Macaca fascicularis: one gene and its partners. The protein of the gene in region 1 interacts with the protein of each later gene in a pairwise test. Links are inferred from orthologs where the notes say so. Each region holds a gene or a part of one and is shown in the gene's direction. Other genes may lie near its edges.

What was found.
Region 2: the proteins of NTAQ1 (region 1) and CAPN3 interact in binary tests that used the Homo sapiens proteins (3 or more experiments, as listed by UniProt). The two-hybrid records come from large-scale screens. The link is inferred for Macaca fascicularis from reciprocal best matches to the Homo sapiens genes NTAQ1 and CAPN3.
Region 3: the proteins of NTAQ1 (region 1) and NUDT14 interact in binary tests that used the Homo sapiens proteins (3 or more experiments, as listed by UniProt). The two-hybrid records come from large-scale screens. The link is inferred for Macaca fascicularis from reciprocal best matches to the Homo sapiens genes NTAQ1 and NUDT14.
Region 4: the proteins of NTAQ1 (region 1) and GMDS interact in binary tests that used the Homo sapiens proteins (3 or more experiments, as listed by UniProt). The two-hybrid records come from large-scale screens. The link is inferred for Macaca fascicularis from reciprocal best matches to the Homo sapiens genes NTAQ1 and GMDS.

The regions. Positions count from the first base shown.
Region 1 is NC_088382.1:133,082,906-133,086,356, forward strand, and holds the end of NTAQ1 (protein N-terminal glutamine amidohydrolase), read left to right. Parts: intron 1-2,207; coding exon 2,208-2,317; 3' UTR 2,318-2,922; downstream 2,923-3,451. UniProt on the Homo sapiens protein: Mediates the side-chain deamidation of N-terminal glutamine residues to glutamate, an important step in N-end rule pathway of protein degradation.
Region 2 is NC_088381.1:18,956,362-18,960,630, forward strand, and holds the start of CAPN3 (calpain-3), read left to right. Parts: upstream 1-1,423; 5' UTR 1,424-1,727; coding exon 1,728-2,036; intron 2,037-4,269. UniProt on the Homo sapiens protein: Calcium-regulated non-lysosomal thiol-protease. Proteolytically cleaves CTBP1 at 'His-409'. Mediates, with UTP25, the proteasome-independent degradation of p53/TP53.
Region 3 is NC_088381.1:173,357,490-173,361,785, reverse strand, and holds the start of NUDT14 (uridine diphosphate glucose pyrophosphatase NUDT14), read left to right. Parts: upstream 1-1,450; 5' UTR 1,451-1,537; coding exon 1,538-1,618; intron 1,619-4,296. UniProt on the Homo sapiens protein: Hydrolyzes UDP-glucose to glucose 1-phosphate and UMP and ADP-ribose to ribose 5-phosphate and AMP. The physiological substrate is probably UDP-glucose. Poor activity on other substrates such as ADP-glucose, CDP-glucose, GDP-glucose and GDP-mannose.
Region 4 is NC_088378.1:170,795,991-170,800,227, forward strand, and holds the start of GMDS (GDP-mannose 4,6 dehydratase), read left to right. Parts: upstream 1-1,391; 5' UTR 1,392-1,555; coding exon 1,556-1,657; intron 1,658-4,237. UniProt on the Homo sapiens protein: Catalyzes the conversion of GDP-D-mannose to GDP-4-dehydro-6-deoxy-D-mannose.

The DNA.
Region 1 (3,451 bases):
AATTACTATATGGGCTGCTGAGGTGAGCACTGCCAGCCCAATTTTCTTCCTTCCTTCCTCCCTGCCTCCCTCCCTGCCTCCCTCCCTTGACTCTGTCACCCAGGCTGGAGTGCAGTGGCATGATCCCAGCTCACTGCAACCTCCACCTCCTGAGTTCAAGCAATTTTCATGCCTCAGCCTCCGGATTAGCTGGGATTACAGGCATGCAGCATCACACCTGGCTAGTTTTATTTATTTATTTATTTATTTATTTTTTTGAGCCGGAGTCTCACTCTGTCGCCCAGGCAACAGAGTGCAGTGGTGTGATCTCTGCTCACTGCAAGCTCCACCTCCCGGGTTCATGCCATTCTCCTGCCTCAGGCTCCTGAGTAGCTGGGACTATAGGCGCCCGCCACCACGCCCAGCTAATTGTTTTTTGGTTGCATTTTTAGTAGAGACGTGGTTTCACCATGTTAGCCAGGATGGTCTCCATCTCCTGACCTTGTGATCCGCCCGCCTCGGCCTCCCAAACTGTTGGGATTATAGGCATGAGCCACCCCGCCCAGCCTCATCTGGCTAGTTTTTATGTTTTTAGTAGACATGAGGTTTTGCCATGTGAGCCAGGCTGGTCTTGAACTCCTGGCCTCAGGTAATCCTTCCGCTTTGGCCTCCCAAAGTGCTGGGATTATAGAGGTGAGCCACTGTGTCCAGCCCACATTAACTAACTAAAAATTAGCCAGGCGTGGTGGTGCACACCTGTAATTCCAGCTACGCAGGAGGCTGAGGCAGGATAATCGCTTGAATCTGGGAGGTGGAGGTTGCAATGAGCCGAGATGGCACCACTGCACTCTAGCCTGGGTGACAGAGGGAGACTCTGTCTCAAAAAAAAAAAAGAAAACCGACATTAAATTAATGCATGTTTTAGATACATGCATTATTAGGTATGTTGGATTTAGTTATGGAATTGACTCTTTTTTTTTTTTTTTTTTAAATCAAGATAGGGTCTCAGTATATTGCTCCTAGCTTGGCCTCCCAAAATACTGAGATTACAGGCATGAGCCACCATGCTGGCCAGGATTAACTCCTTTTTTTTTTTTTGAGACAGAGTCTCGCTCTGTTGCCCAGGCTGGAGTGCAGTGGCGCGATCTTGGCTCACTACAACCTCTCCCTCCTGGGTTCAAGCAATTCTCCTGCCTCAGCCTCCCAAGTAGCTCAGATTATAGGCACCCACTACTACACCTGGCTAAATTTTGTACTGTTAGTAGAGATGGGATTTCACCACGTTGGCCAGGCTGGTCTTGAACTCGTGACCTCAAGTGATCCACCTTTCTCATCTTCCCATAGTGCTGAGATTATAAGTGTGAGCCACCAAGCCTGGCTGCTTTTAATCTTTTTGAGTAAAGGTTCACAGTAGGCTTTCTTTCTTTTTTTTTTTTTTTTTTGAGACAAAGCCTTGCTTTGTTGCCCAGGCTGGAGTGAAGTGGCATGATCTTGGCTCATTACACCCTCCAACTCCCAGGTACAAGCAATTCTGTCTCAGCCTCCCAAGTAGCTGGGATTAGAGAGGCGTGCCACCATACCCCGCTAATTTTTGTATTTTTAGTAGAGAATGGGGTTTCACCATGTTGACCAGGCTGTTCTCTAACTTCTGACCTCAAGTGATCTGCCCACCTCGGCCTCCCAAAGTGCTGGGATTACAGGTGTGAGCCACCGTGCTCGGCTCAGAGCAGCCTTTCATCGAGGGCTAATTTAGCCCCCCTACTCTGACATGACCCTTTTGAGGATGCCACTGAATGCCGCATCTTAAGAGTTCTCTCCACTCTGGCTGGTGGTGACATGAATTATTTCTAGCCCTGTGGAAGTTCTGGGGATTATTAGACCCACTCCTTCCTGGTGCTGCTTTCCCTGGCCTCATGCAGTTTCGTTCCATGAAAGAGAAGATCAGTACTTAGCCAAAGACCCAGGGGGTCCCCTCTGCTGATCTCTGGAGCTCTGACTCTCTGTGTCGTCCCCTCTTCACTGACATTCTGTTTCCCTCAGTTTGGGTGTGTTTGTTTTGTCATGATTGGATTGAAGTTATACATTCCAGGCAAGAAAACCACAGAGGTGACATTGAGCCCTTATCCATTTGACTAATTTTACCTACTTTTGGTCTTCTGCGTTGTTTTATTGCTGTTAAACCAAAATTGTGTTTTCAGTGGACATTTTTTTTTCATATTTTTTTTTAGATTCCAAAATGAACCTGAACGATTTCATCAGTATGGATCCCGAGGTAGGATGGGGCGCTGTCTACACACTATCCGAATTTACACATCGGTTTGGCAGTAAAAACGGTTAAACTTGGCCTCAAGATGTGGAACTGTGGAGAAATTCTAGGACATGAACAAGCTATCCCTTCATCGAGGACAGCAAACATTATGGTACAGTTGGCTTGGAATTATGTCTTTCTCTTTTAATTTGATTGAGTGGAAATCTGAGTGAATACAAATATAAATGAACAACATAAAAACTTTTGTTTTGACATGTCAAATTGAAACTTGATATAGTGTGTACTTGCTAAGATATTCCTGTGGCTCATTTGTTAAAACACGAGGACTTAAGCCAGTAATCGTTTTTGTTCAGATAGAGGTGTGGAGGTAGAGCCAGCCCCTCATGTCTGTTCTGGATGTTTTGTGTCTTTCCAGCTACACTGTAAGCTCCTTGAGGGCAGGGCCATGGCCCATTGCTCTGTGAATCTCAAATGCCCATAAAAGGTGCCCATAAAATGTTTTCTTGAACATTTCAATGTGCTGTTGTTTGGAAAGGGGTAATATTGTGAGCTGAATCAGCAATAAGTATTAGTCTTTTTGGACTATGGTATTGTTAAAAAGTTTGCAGCCCTCTCAGATTTGAGTGTTACTTGGTTTATTTATTTATGGCTTTAAATAAAATTGATTTAACATTTGTTTTGTTTTGAAGATTTTTGTGTCACCCTTGATGATCTGAAATACCTAAATATGCCTCAATTGTAGATGAGAACCAGGGCTTTAAAATATATTTATTACATGTGCCTTCTGGAAGACATCTTGATCATGTGGCTTTAATCGTATCATTCCAAATGAAAGATATTTGGCATTACACTGACATATAGTATCAGCTCTCATGTTTTCATGATTCTGCTTTAAAAATGAACAACTTCTTATAGCAAGGATATCTGACCTTTTGTTCTTAGATGAGCTTTCTACTTATTAAGAAACTGTCAGCTGGGCATGGTGGCTCATGCGTGTAATCTCAGTACTTTGGGAGACCGAGGCAGGTGGATCATGAGGTTAGGAGTTTGAGACCAGCTTGGCCAACATGGTGAAACCTTGGCTGTACTAAAAATACAAAAATTAGCTGGGTGTGGTGGTGGGCGCCTATAATCCCAGCTACTTGGGAGACTGAGGCAGAATTGCTTGAACCTGGGAGGTGGAAGTTGCAGTGAGCTGAGATC
Region 2 (4,269 bases), on another chromosome or scaffold:
GGAACAGAAGGCTAGGCTGATGGTTCCTGCAAGCCCAGACATAAGAGTTCTTCAATGCCGCAATCCCAGGGATCAGGAGGCTGATAGTACTCCCTATTTTACCTGTCACTTCCCACCTTCTTCCATAGCCTCTAATCTTCGATTATTGAGACTGGTCGCATAGGAACAGGCATGACTACAGCCTAGGACATGCCTCCACTCTGCCATACTTGAAATGTGGTCATCTCCTTACAGCCCAGGGAGCAGCTGTTGTGGGTAGAAGACAAGGTGGAGGCCAGGCAGGCACTTCCCTTCCCCAGAGCCACTTATGCTCTCATCTAAGAGCCCTGAAACCAGGTGTGACATCCCAGGGCTTGACAGGCAGTCTGGTTCAGTATCCAGTTCCAGCTTCTGTCTCAGATGCCTAATGTGGCATGGCTGAATGAGTCAACATGTAACCTATACAGTAAGTCCTCACTTAACATCGTTGATAGGTTCTTGTAAACTGTGACTTTAACCAAAACAAGCTTACTAGAACCTATTGATGACACTGGGGATTTACTGTGCTCAGGTGCACTTTTTTTTTTTAAGATGGAGTCTCGTTCTGTCACCCAGGCTGGAGTACAGTGGCGCAATCTGGGTTCACTCCAACCTCTGCCTCCTGGGTTCAAGCGATTCTTCTGTCTCAGCCTCCCAAGTAGCTGGGATTACAGGCACCCACCACCATGCCTGTCTTATTTATGTGTTTTCACTGGTTTCACTATTGTTGGCCAGGCTGATCTCGAACTCCTGACCTCATGTGATCCACCCGCCTCGGCATCCCAAAGTGCTGAGATTACAGATGTGAGCCCCCGCGCCCGGCAGGTACACTTTTTATAGCAGATTCAGTCCCAGTGTTTATTTTGGGGATGGGAAGAGACAAGAGGTGGCAAGGTCAAGTCTGCAGGTACAGGCAGGGATTTTCTCAACCAAGGACTCTGCTGAGTAGCATTTTCCATGCAGACATTTCCAATAAACGCTGACCCAAGAACATTCTAGAAAAGATGCCAAATCTAACATTGAATAATGTTCTGATATCCTAAAATTTTAGGACTAAAAATCATGTTCTCTAAAATTCACAGAATATTTTCCTAGAATTCAGTACCTCTCGTTCACCCTAACTAGCTTTTTTGCAATACTGTTTTCCATTCATTTGTTGGCCAGTAGTTGGGTGGTCTGTATAACTGCCTACTCAATAACATGTCAGCAGTTCTCAGCTTCTTTCCAGTGTTCACCTTACTCAGATACTCCCTTTTCATTTTCTGACAACACCAGCACTTCATGGCAACAGAGATGTCCCTAGCCAGGTTCTCCTCTCTCTTGCTCTCATACTCACAGTGTTTCTTCACATCTATTTTTAGTTTTTCTGGCTCAAGCATCTTCAGGCCACTGAAACACAACCCTCACTCTCTTTCTCTCTCCCTCTGGCATGCATGCTGCTGGTAGGAGACCCCAGGTCAACATTGCTTCAGAAATCCTTTAGCACTCATTTCTCAGGAGAACTTATGGCTTCAGAATCACAGCTCGGTTTTTAAGATGGACATAACCTGTACGACCTTCTGATGGGCTTTCAACTTCGAACTGGATGTGGACACTTTTCTCTCAGATGACAGAATTACTCTAACTTCCCCTTTGCAGTTGCTTCCTTTCCTTGAAGGTAGCTGTATCTTGTTTTCTTTAAAAAGCTTTTTCTTCCAAAGCCACTTGCCATGCCGACCGTCATTAGTGCATCTGTGGCTCCAAGGACAGCGGCTGAGCCAAGGTCCCCAGGGCCAGTTCCTCACCCGGCTCAGAGCAAGGCCACCGAGGCTGGGGGTGGAAACGCAAGTGGCATCTATTCAGCCATCATCAGCCGCAATTTTCCTATTATCGGAGTGAAAGAGAAGACATTCGAGCAGCTTCACAAGAAATGTCTAGAAAAGAAAGTTCTTTATGTGGACCCCGAGTTCCCACCGGATGAGACCTCTCTCTTTTATAGCCAGAAGTTCCCCATCCAGTTCATCTGGAAGAGACCTCCGGTGAGTAACTTCCTGCTTACTTGCTGGGTTTTCCCCCCACGGAGGAGTCCTCCCACTCAGCACCTCCGGCAGCTCAGCTGTGCACATGGGCAATGGGGGAAGGATCCTGGCAGCAATTTTGCTGGGCTCTGTCCTTAAGTGTGAAGCAGGGAGGAGAGGAACAGGTCTCAGATATTTCACCAAATCTCAGCAAAATCCAGAGGGAGAGCGGGGGAGGTGGGGCTGATTCTCATGCTCTGACTCTTTCTCTCTGAAAAAAAAAAAAAAAATCTTGCTTTTTATAAAAGTGGTTGGAACTCAGTTTAATTCATCCTGTAAAAATATTCCTTTCTCAGAACAAATTCCAGAGAGCCCAGATCTACCCTTTCATTTTAAATACCTTTCATCTTTGTAAGATCACTTTAGTTTCTCTGGCTAAAATCATGATGTTATTCTTCTTTAATTTACCAGTGGCCATATCTTTCTGAAACATAGCAACCCTAGAAAGAAGAGAGTCATAAGCACGGAATATTTTTTCATGCATAAAATGTTGGGGTTAGAGAGAGAGACCTAGCAATCGTTTTTGTCCACCTACCTCACCTCATAAGCGAGGAGTCAAGGCACACCAGAGCGAAATATATCCAGTGGGCACATGACAGAGCCTGGATTAAAACTTTCTCTTTTAGGAAACTCTCCCAGCCTCTGGGTTTCATTTATAGTGATCACCAGGAGGGAAATCACATTCCCCTGGCTCGCCTCTCTGATCATCCCTCCAGTGTGACTTTTGTTCTTAATTCAAGAAATATTTATTGAGCATCTACTAGTGCCAGCACTGGACAAGCAACTGGGGGGACAGCAGTGAGTAAGAAAAACCAAAATCCAAGCTGTCTTGGAACCTAGGGTCCTGAAGAGAAGATGGGCGTTGAACAAGAGTGACGTTGTCAGGAGACGATGTTCTGGGTGCCACGGGATCATGTGGCAAGGAGAGCTAACCTGGTCCAGGGAGAGAAACCCTTCCTGAGGAAACGATGGCAACCTGACACCTGATACTATTCATTAGTCATGTTTTTCTTTAACCTAAGATGGGCCAGGCGTGGTGGCTCACGCCTGTAATCCCAGCATTTTGGGAGGCCCAGGCTGGAGGATTGCTTAAGCCCAAGAGTTTGAGACCAGCCTGGGCAACAGGGCAAAAATCTATCTCTTTTGTACTAAAAATTCAAAAAATTATCCAGGCACGGTGGCACATGCCTGTGGTCCTACCTACTTGTAGGCTGAGGTGGGAAGATCACTTGAACTCACAAAGTCCGAGGCAGCAGTGAGCTGAGATCACGCCACTGCACTCCAGGCTGGGTGACAGGACTGAGACCCAGTCTCAAACAACAACAACAACAAACCTGAGGTGGAATACTCCACAACCCCATGTATTCCATAGGTGCTCTTCTTGGTTCTATGGTAAGGCCCATAACTGTCCTGCAGGCCTTCAGTTTAGAAGATAACACTGCTCTGCTATCAGAGTAGTTGGACACGTCATAACCCCCTGCTGAAATATCTTCAGTGACATCCCTCTCTCGGCTGCCTTCAGGACAAATCCCCCACTGCCTTCAGGACAAATCCAAACTCCTTAGCCAAGCCATAGGCCCTTCTCAGCTGGTCCCTGCCTACCTATCCAGGCCCATCTCCATCCTCTTTTCGCAGATCCTGACACACCAGCAGTGCTTGGACATTTAGCTGCTCTGTGGTTCCAAGTCTTCTCACACCGGAGGCCTTTGCTCATGCTGTCTGTCTGCCTGGCATGCCCTTTTTGTTCCTGTCTGAAACTCTGCTCAGGTGTCACTTCCTTCAATCTTTCTCATGACTGTTTTCCTCTCACTGAGAGCAGAGACTCTTCCTGTTCATCTTTGAGGCCCACTCACCAAGTTCAGGCCAGTCCCATAGTGGGTACTCAGCTGATGCTGGTGAATGAAAACCCATGCCCGAGGGCCTTGACCGGTGAGACAGGATAGTCCTGCGTTCCCAGGCAGGGAGTTCTTAAAAACCCTTTCTTGTGCCAGACGTGGTGGCTTATGCCTGTAATCCCAGCACTTTGGGAGGCAGAGGTGGGAGCATCACTTGAGCTCAGGAGTTGGAGACCAGCCTGGGCAACATAGTGAGACCCTATCTCTATAAAAAAAAGAAATAAAAGCCCTTTCTCAGAATGGGTAAAATTAAAACCTACAAATACTATTTTCAGTGAAATCATTGGTGAACTTGAGTC
Region 3 (4,296 bases), on another chromosome or scaffold:
CAGGAGGAATGGCTAAAGCGGGGAGACACAGGCCCCTGTAGAGCTACTGGGGCGGTGACAGCTGGACTTGGATGCTGGCTTCATGACCGTGTTCCCCAGCGTTCCCACCTGGTGATACCCCTTCCCTGGAATCTGCGGGTGGCCCAGGACTTTCTGACCCACAGGATGCAGTAGGAATGACACCATATGACATCTGAGGCCAGGTCACACAAAGCCTGGCAGCTTGGCCTGGCCTAGTGAACGTGCTCTGGAAGGAGCCAGCTGCTACCGGAGAATCCGACTACCCTGAGACCACCAGGCTTCGGGGAAGCCCACACCAGCCACAAGGGAGGCCAGCTGGCCCTGGCTGTTCCAGCCACCCAACTGGGGGCCAGGGGTGAAGAGGCCATCCTGGACGGTCCACCCCGTTTGGCCTTCGGACGACTCCAGCCCCAGCTGCCACCTGATTACAACTGCAGAGAGACCCCAAGGCAGGGCTGCCTGGCTGAGCTGGGCGATCCATAGGCCAGGCAATAAAGGGGCACTTTAAGGCATTAAGCTTTGGAGTGTTTCGTTACACAGCAATAGTGAACAAGGATCTGGGAGTCTATTTCAAGCCCACATGGCCAGTCCACCCTGAGCCTGTTCCCCTGGGCCATAGTTCAGAAAGCAGGTGCAGGTCAGGGTTCAGGGCCAGTGTGGGCCTTAGCTCCCTTGCCTCAATATTGTTTCCAGCCCCTGTGGAGGCAGTGGTGGCATTTGGAGGGGGTCCTTGGAATCCATGCCCAAGGAAGAACTGCAGCTGCCTGGGACCCTTCCACACCCAGGAAGGACCGTCATCAAGGTAGAACTTGCAGGAGGAGGGAAGGGCAGCTGGCTTTTGAGTGGAGGAGGGACAGCTGCAGAGACAGCGTGGCAGCTCCCAGCCACCCTGGACACCAGCAACCTCGAGGGGAAGCCCCCTTGGCCCAAGCTTTGGCCCCTCCCGCGCCCCACTCTCCTCTCCCCTGGCTTCTTTCCAGGGCCCTCTCTCTGGCCTCCCGTGACTCTCTTCCTGGGCCCAGTCCCTCCCTCCCTGGGGCGCTGCTCCGCCCCCGGCCCCGCCCGCGGACCCCTGGAGTAACTTAATCTCAGGGTTGTGGTTCATCCCCAGAGGTACCCCAAACGGGCAGGCTCTTGGCTCCAACCACCTCCAGGCCCTCCCTCCCCCAGCCAAGAGGTCCTGAGTCCCACCCAAGCACTGTACCCCGGTCCGGCTGGCCCCGCCCGGCGGCCGGGGTCGACCCAGCCAGTCCTTCCTCTGCGCGACGCCCACGTGCCTGCGCGGCTCCCCTGGCACCGCGGAGACCGGCGCCCCCAGGCGCGCAGCACCCGACAGGTGGCACCTGCGAGCCCCGCCCACCTCGGCCGCCCCGCCCCGCCCCGCCCCGCCCCGCGCACCCACGGAGCATGCTCAGAGCCGCCGTCACGCGCCCGCCCGAAAGCTCCCGTCCTGCCAGGGCGCTGCCCCGGGTTGGTCCCCACTGCGGTCGGGACCCCCGCCTGTCCTGGCGCCGCCATGGACCGCATCGAGGGAGCGTCCGTGGGCCGCTGCGCCGCCTCACCCTACCTGCGGCCGCTCACGCTGCATTACCGCCAGGTGAGCCCGCGTCCCCGCGCCCTCCGCGTCCCCCGCGTCCCCGCCGGCGGCCCAGCCCACGACCCGCGTCCCGCCCACCGCCTTCTGCGCTGCGGGCCCCGCCCCGGAGCCCCGCCCCCGACTCCCGCCGAGCTCCGGGTCGGCCCCTTCTCCGCCCGCCGGATCGCGGGTTCCCCGACCCAGTGAGCCCCCAGGCCGGGGAGGGGCCGCAGGAGGGACATCTGAGGGGACACCACTCATCCTTTCAAGGAAGCATTGCTGGGCCCTATCCTTCCCGTCCCCGGAATCCGACCCTTTTGACAGTGGGACTCCTTGGTTGCCCTGGGGATCAGGGAAGGCTTCCTGGAAATGGTGGCTTTCATGCTGCAACTTGAAGGAGGAGATAGCTGGGCCGAGGAGGAAGGAGCAAGGAGTGCAGAGGGTGGAAGCAGGGAGGTAGGAGAAGGAGCTGAGTGAGAATTTGAGCGAGTCTCAAAGTGGGCTTCCTCCTTGGGGTTTTTTCCAGGGAGGGCACCTCCTTGGAGTCTCCATCTGCCTAAGCTCAGCCTTCCCCACCTCCTAGGGTGTCACATTCTCCCATGCCAGGCCCCGACACGAGGGGCTGTGTTGCCTCACTTGGCACCAGGCACATGGTAGGTTCACAAGGAATATTTTGTTTTGTTTTGTTTTTGAGACAGGGTCTTGCTCTGTTTCCCAGGCTGGAGTGCAGTGGCATGATCACAGCTCACTGTAGCCTCAACCTCCTGGGCTCAAGCGATCCTCCTGCCTCAGCCCCTGCCCCGGTAGCTGGGACCACAGGTGCACACCACCACACCCGGCTGATTTTTAAATTTTTTTGTAGAGACGAGGTCTCACTGCTGCCCAAGCTGGTCTTGAACTCCTGGCCTCGAACTCTTGGCCTCTGAAAGCATGGGGATTACAGGCATGAGGCATATGTGTTGGGTGAAGGAGCTACTGCCATCCTCTTCCCACATCCAGTGGATCACTGAGTCCCAGCCTGTCTTCCTCTAAGCCCAGCCCTGTCCGGTTTGGGCCCCACCTTTTGCTTGCATGCCTGCCTGCCCCCAGCAGATCTCCCCTCTGCCAGAGCTCCTGCATGCCATTTAGGCAAAGACTACCTTCCTGGCCACAGTCAGTCCAGCGCCCCCAGCCTCTCTCATCAGGTCAGGTGGTCCAGGTCGCCGTGCCCCTCTGCTTGCGTGCCTCCCTCAGGGGGCATCCTGTCCCCCCCATCACATCCAGGATGCTGCCCCTCACCATCCTTGTGAAGCCCTCTTAGCCCCCAGCCTGAGAGAGGCCCTGTGCCCCTCACTTTCCCTGTGGCGGGAGTCCTGTTGGCTCTCCCCAAGGCAAAGCTAAGCTGGTGGTGCTGGCGGGGGGCAGCTGGGATCAGTCGAGGTACAGCAGGTGGGGGCATGGGGTCACTGCCCTTTTCCCTGATGGCCACATGGGATGCCTGCTTGTGGCTGCACAGTCCCCACAGGGCTGGGCCTCAGGCAGCAGGTACAGGGCAGCCCAGGCAGGTGCCCTCTGTGGCCCTGGTGGCAGCACTCTCTCCCTCACTTCCAGTGAAGCGCTCAGGGCAGCCCTCGCAGCCTCAGCGTGCAGCCCACTGGCACAGCTCTGCTGAGGGGCTCTGGTAACCAGAGCTGAGCTGGTGTGGGCCGTGGCTGTGGTGGACACGGATGCAGGCTCAGGCCGGGCGGCGTCTTCTCAGGGCCAAGGGACATTGGGTTGGACCTTGGCCGCCACCCAGGGACAGCTGCAGCCCTCAGCGTTTTGCTGCATCCAGCCAGGGGAGGCCTGTGATGTCAGGCAGACCAAAGGCGGGGGACCCCCATGGCTCTGAGGTGATGGGGCTTTGTTTGCACCCAGACCTGCCCCTCTTTCCCAGGCCTCAGTGGCCTCCCTGAACCTTCCTGCACCTTGACCTGGCTGGACCTAAGGGTCTGACACACTTTTGACCTTGAGCTGAGAGGGTCCTTGAGACCTGCATGGGGTGATGTTACTCAGGGGGAAGCAGTGGTGGGGAGGGGGCATGGGCATAGCAGGCACATGGCAGGCTGTGGGCGGGGGGCTTCCCTGAAGCCTGCCCTGGCTGGGTGGCTGGCTCTGGGGTGGCTGGATGTCAGGCAGGCCTGGGCTCGCCTCCCGGGAGTGGTACCCCACGGCCTCTTGGGCATCCTGACCTGCGCGGGACACTGGCCCTCCCTTCCCTTGGAAATGGGCACTCTCCTCCCAGGACGCCTTTGCCTGCCAGCCAAGCTGAGGGCCTCTGTGCCTCTGCCTGCCCAGAATCCCTTCCCTCACTTCCGTCACCTCTTCCAGGAAGTCCTCAGGAAGGCTTCTTCCCTCTTCTGCAGTCCTGGCTGCACTTCCTGTGTCTCTGCCACTCAGGCTCTGTCCATTTCACAGCCTGGGCGGAGCCCCCAGGGTGGGGTGAGCAGCTCACCTGGGCCTCGGAGTGGCAGATGGGCTGAGCTCGCCGGAGATGGGACCCCGTGGGACCCCAGGCCCAGCCCCCAGGATGGGAGTGCATCTCAGAATCCGTCAGTTCCAGCCTCCCCCAGCAGGCCCAGCCCACACACCTGCCCACCCAGGGTGCAGGGGCCTGCCAGGGCGGCGTGCCCAGCGTGTGGAGGGGGAAGGTGGAGGGTGGCCACAGGAGAACAGGACCA
Region 4 (4,237 bases), on another chromosome or scaffold:
CCACCGCGCCCGGCCGCTCAGTGATTTTTTCAGGAAAATGTTAAATAATTTGTTCATGCATTAATTTAAAGCCTATTTACATGAAAACGAATATAGTTGTAGCATATTGCTGTATATTTCACAGACATTTCTAGCTTATAGCATGTTCCTCTCAATGGAAGCGTTCCCTTTCCTCAGCTTCAGGGTCCCTTCATCACTCGAGGCAGCATCCTACTGGCGCACCAGATGTTCGTTCAGCCATTCTCCTCATAGAACGCAGAGAGGCCGGGTGTGAAACCAGACCGTCTATCTACAAAGCTAAGAAATATTCCTAACGGACTTCGCGGAGCGGGAGAGGGAGGTTTTAAATTAATCCTAAGCTTTTCTGATTTTGGGGTTCCAGGTCTGCTATACATACTCTTGCATGTTATAATGGGCACAGCCCTAGTAACTCTGATTTGAAACGATGATCTGAGGTTATCGATTAGGGGGAGGAGTAAGGACAGAGAAGCAGAGCAACGGAGACCGGGAAGTTTCCGGCTGTGCCCTGGATTGCAGCCAACTGCTTAGGCACACACACCTGCTGTCCTCCAGGCTCTGAGTCACCTCCTCGTCTCTCCCTGTCCAACGAGCAGCTGCCAAATGGCAGCCAAATCCAATAGATATAAGCCAGGACCCCACCTGTGTTTGAATTACTTTCTTTGAAATTTGCCACGTCCAGGTTTATTGACCCGGGCAGTCTTTTCAACATTTCCTTATGCTGCATACGGGTGGGGCCAGCGACTTGCTTGTGCACTGCCAGTCCCCAGAACAGAACACGTTGAATTCAGCTATTTGGAACCTCGTTCCTGGTTCCGACCTCAGGGAACGCCAGAAGAGCAAGAGCCAGCCTCGTTAGTCACCCCCACAACTGCAACCCCCGTTTCGGGGCCTTGTAACGCCAGCGCCCTTCAGGTACCATAAACCAGGCTTCCCAAAGGCGCTGCGACAGGTTTCCAGGAGTCATCAAAGTCGATGATCCCGGCCCTGGGACCCCAGGGTTTGCAAATTCAGACCTTTAGCCCAATGGAGAGGTCGGCTCAGCGTTCCTCCCAGCATCCTCGGGTGACATTAGGATTCCTGGGAGATTCGAGAGGCCGCCGGGGAGGACAAGGGAACCGCGTCCAGGCCGCCCATGGCCAGCCAGGCGAGAGGCGGGACGCGAAGCCGCTGCCTTCTTCCTCTTCCCTCAGGCGGCGGCGGCGGCAGGCCCCGCCCCGCGCGGCGGCCGTCAGCGGAGGGGCGGGGCCTGCCCCAGCGTCGCCGGTTGACGCGAATGACGCGGCGCCAGTCAGGCCGCAGCCCCGCTGCTTGGCCGTCTGGCCCGCCTCGGCCGGCTCGGCCCGCCCCCGGCCCTCCCCGCGCGGCCTCCCGTGCGCCCCTGTCAGACTGTGGCGGCCGGTCGCGCGGTGCGCTCTCCCTCCCCGCCCGCAGCCAGAGAGGCGCTTCGCGCCGCACACACCCGCGTTCCTGCCGGCGCCGCGCCTGCCCTCTGCCGCGCTCCGCCCTGCCGCCGACCGCACGCCCGCCGCGGGACATGGCACACGCACCGGCACGCTGCTCCAGCGCCCGGGGCTCCGGGGACGGCGAGATGGGCAAGCCCAGGAACGTGGCGCTCATCACCGGCATCACGGGCCAGGTGAGTGTGGGGGCGGGGGCGCGCCGGCCGAGGCCGCCTGGGCACGCGTGCTCTCCCTGCGCGCCGCTCCTCGCGGGCTGCGGCGTCTCCAGGAACAGCCGTCTCGGCGTCCCGGAAGGGGTCTGCTGCCGGGAGGTGGGACGGAAGGTGCGGTGCCGTGAGTATGTCGTGTGTGGGGTGTGCTGGATGCTTCGAGTGCCTCTGGTCTTCCTCTGGGGGCTGTGAGCGTGTGTGCCGCGCGGGATGTCGCCCTCACACCCGGGCAGGACCGCCCGCTCGCACCTGCCCCTCAGGTGACCGCAGCGTCTCTTCCTCCAAGCCCATTTCGTGCTTCGCAGCTGCTGGTGCCGGGAGGGGAAAAGAACTGGTGATCAATGACTTGCGGGTGAGGTCCTCCTGATGTATCTCGGCTCACGGGGCGCTTACCTGCTAATGTTTGGGAAGCAGGAAAAAGGGTGCTTTGCTGGTTTCGTCGCCTATCACCGGCTTTCCAGATAGAAAAGAGAACATGAAAGAAAGTGATGCTGTGGAGTCACCCACTAGGACATGTTTAGGAAAAAGAACTTGAAAAACTTTTAAAAATCACACCAACTTCTGGGATTCAGGTTCACACGTTTGGACGTGTATCTGAGACACACTGGTCCAAAAGTGAGGCTAGGTTCCATTTCCAGAGGAATAAGTTCCTCGAGTAAGGTCATCAGGAGGAGGTCTTCGGAATGTCTCAGGCTAGGCATGGCTGGTTTGTGAGAGTCGTCTCAGAGGTGTTGCAATAGGTAGGATCCGACCACTGTGCTTTATTAAAAGCTGTGCTGTTTGAGATTCAGTGGTCATGAAGTAGTCATGCCCACATATTGCTGTAGAAAGAATGTGATATATGTGCTCCTGGGTATCTCTGGGTGGTGGCCATATAACACAAATAAAGATGAAAATGGCTGATACATATTGTGTCTATTATGTTCCAGTCGCTTGACTAATACTAACTCATTTAGTTCTCATAACAAACTCTTTGAGGAGGTACTTTTATTATCTCTCTGTGGAAACGGAGGCATGGGAGTTTGATTGGCCTGAGGTTAAATCGCTGGGAAGTGTCCAGTTGGTATTGAAACCACTCTGAAAGTTCTCTAGTGTTAGAAAAGGCTAAGTGGGCAGGAGGCAGCGGTTCATAACTGAAATCTCAGCACTTCGGTAGGCAGAGGCGGGAGGATTGCTTGAGGTGAGGCCAGGAGTTTGAGACCAGCCTGGGCAACATATTGAGACCTTATCGCTACAAAAAAAAAAAAAAAAATTAGGCAGGCATGTTGGTGCTCATTTGTAGTGCTTGCTACTGGGAGGCCGAAGCAGGAGGATCACTTGAGTCCAGGAGTTTGAGGCTGCAGTGAGCAGTGATGGCACCACTGTACTTCAGTCTGGGGCAAGAGAGTGAGATCCTGCCTCAAAAAAAGAAACAAAAAATTAGAGAGAAGGAGAAGTTGAAATTGGCCAGATGCACAGTCACAGAATATTACACAATTTCAACTATTGAATACCTGATTTACTGCTGGTTATTCATGCATCTTGCTTTGCTTAAGGTAATCATAATAGACAAGAGTTTGAAAACTAGTAAGAGGTGGATCTGAGTTTGAGGAAGAGGGCAAGGATCTGAGGTTGAGAAATTGAATACTTGAATTGAGGCAGTAAGAAAGGTCAGGGCCTACATACTGTCCTCCCCCTTCTCTTTGTTTTCTAATGCTGGGACCTTTCTGCAGATGAATCCCTTTTTATTCCGTTTTGTCAGACTGGACCTGAAGCTCAAATGTTTACCAAGTTTATATAATCTCTGGAAAGTAGAGATTTGATTTTAGTATTGTCAGGAAATTAGTTAAGATGTTAATGTGCTGTGTTGGTGTGGCCTATACCAATTTACGTGACCAGCAGTATGAATCAGTGCAGATTAGAAATGGAACCTGATTTTGACTTTTAAGAGCAGTCATTTGGATGGAACTGAGTGGCCAGGAAGGTGTGGAGGTGGACCCCCACTCTAGTTTGTCCTGCAGCCTGTCATGTGAGTCTACCTGAAGCACCACACTCAGCAGACCACTCCCTGACCAGAATTTTTTGGTTCCTCATTTCATTTCCAACTTAAAACACCTGCGTGGCTTTCAGGCTGGTTTGAATCTCTGCCCCAGTGTTTTTTTCTTCCCTACAGCATTTGCCCTCTGCATTGTCACCTCATTTGGTGTTGCACTGGCGTATGTACCCCTAGCATAGTGCTGAATTCTGTAGCTACCACATAAACACTTGCAGAGGGAATGGACTGCTCTTCTATGTTTTTTATTTGTATTCCAGGACAGTGACTCCCAACTTGAGTATCAAGGATCTCTGGAGCACTGTGGTGTTAATGCAAGGGGTCTGAAAATCCATACTTTATTGTACGTTTTCTTAATAATACTGACTGAGAACTTACTGGGCTATTCACTCTGCTAAGCATTTTGTATATCCCTACCTAAGGGGCAGGTATAATAATTATTCCCATTTTATTCCTGGCTAAGTAAGGTTAAGTGTCAGAACTGAGATCTGAACCCAGATCTCAGCAGTTGCTCT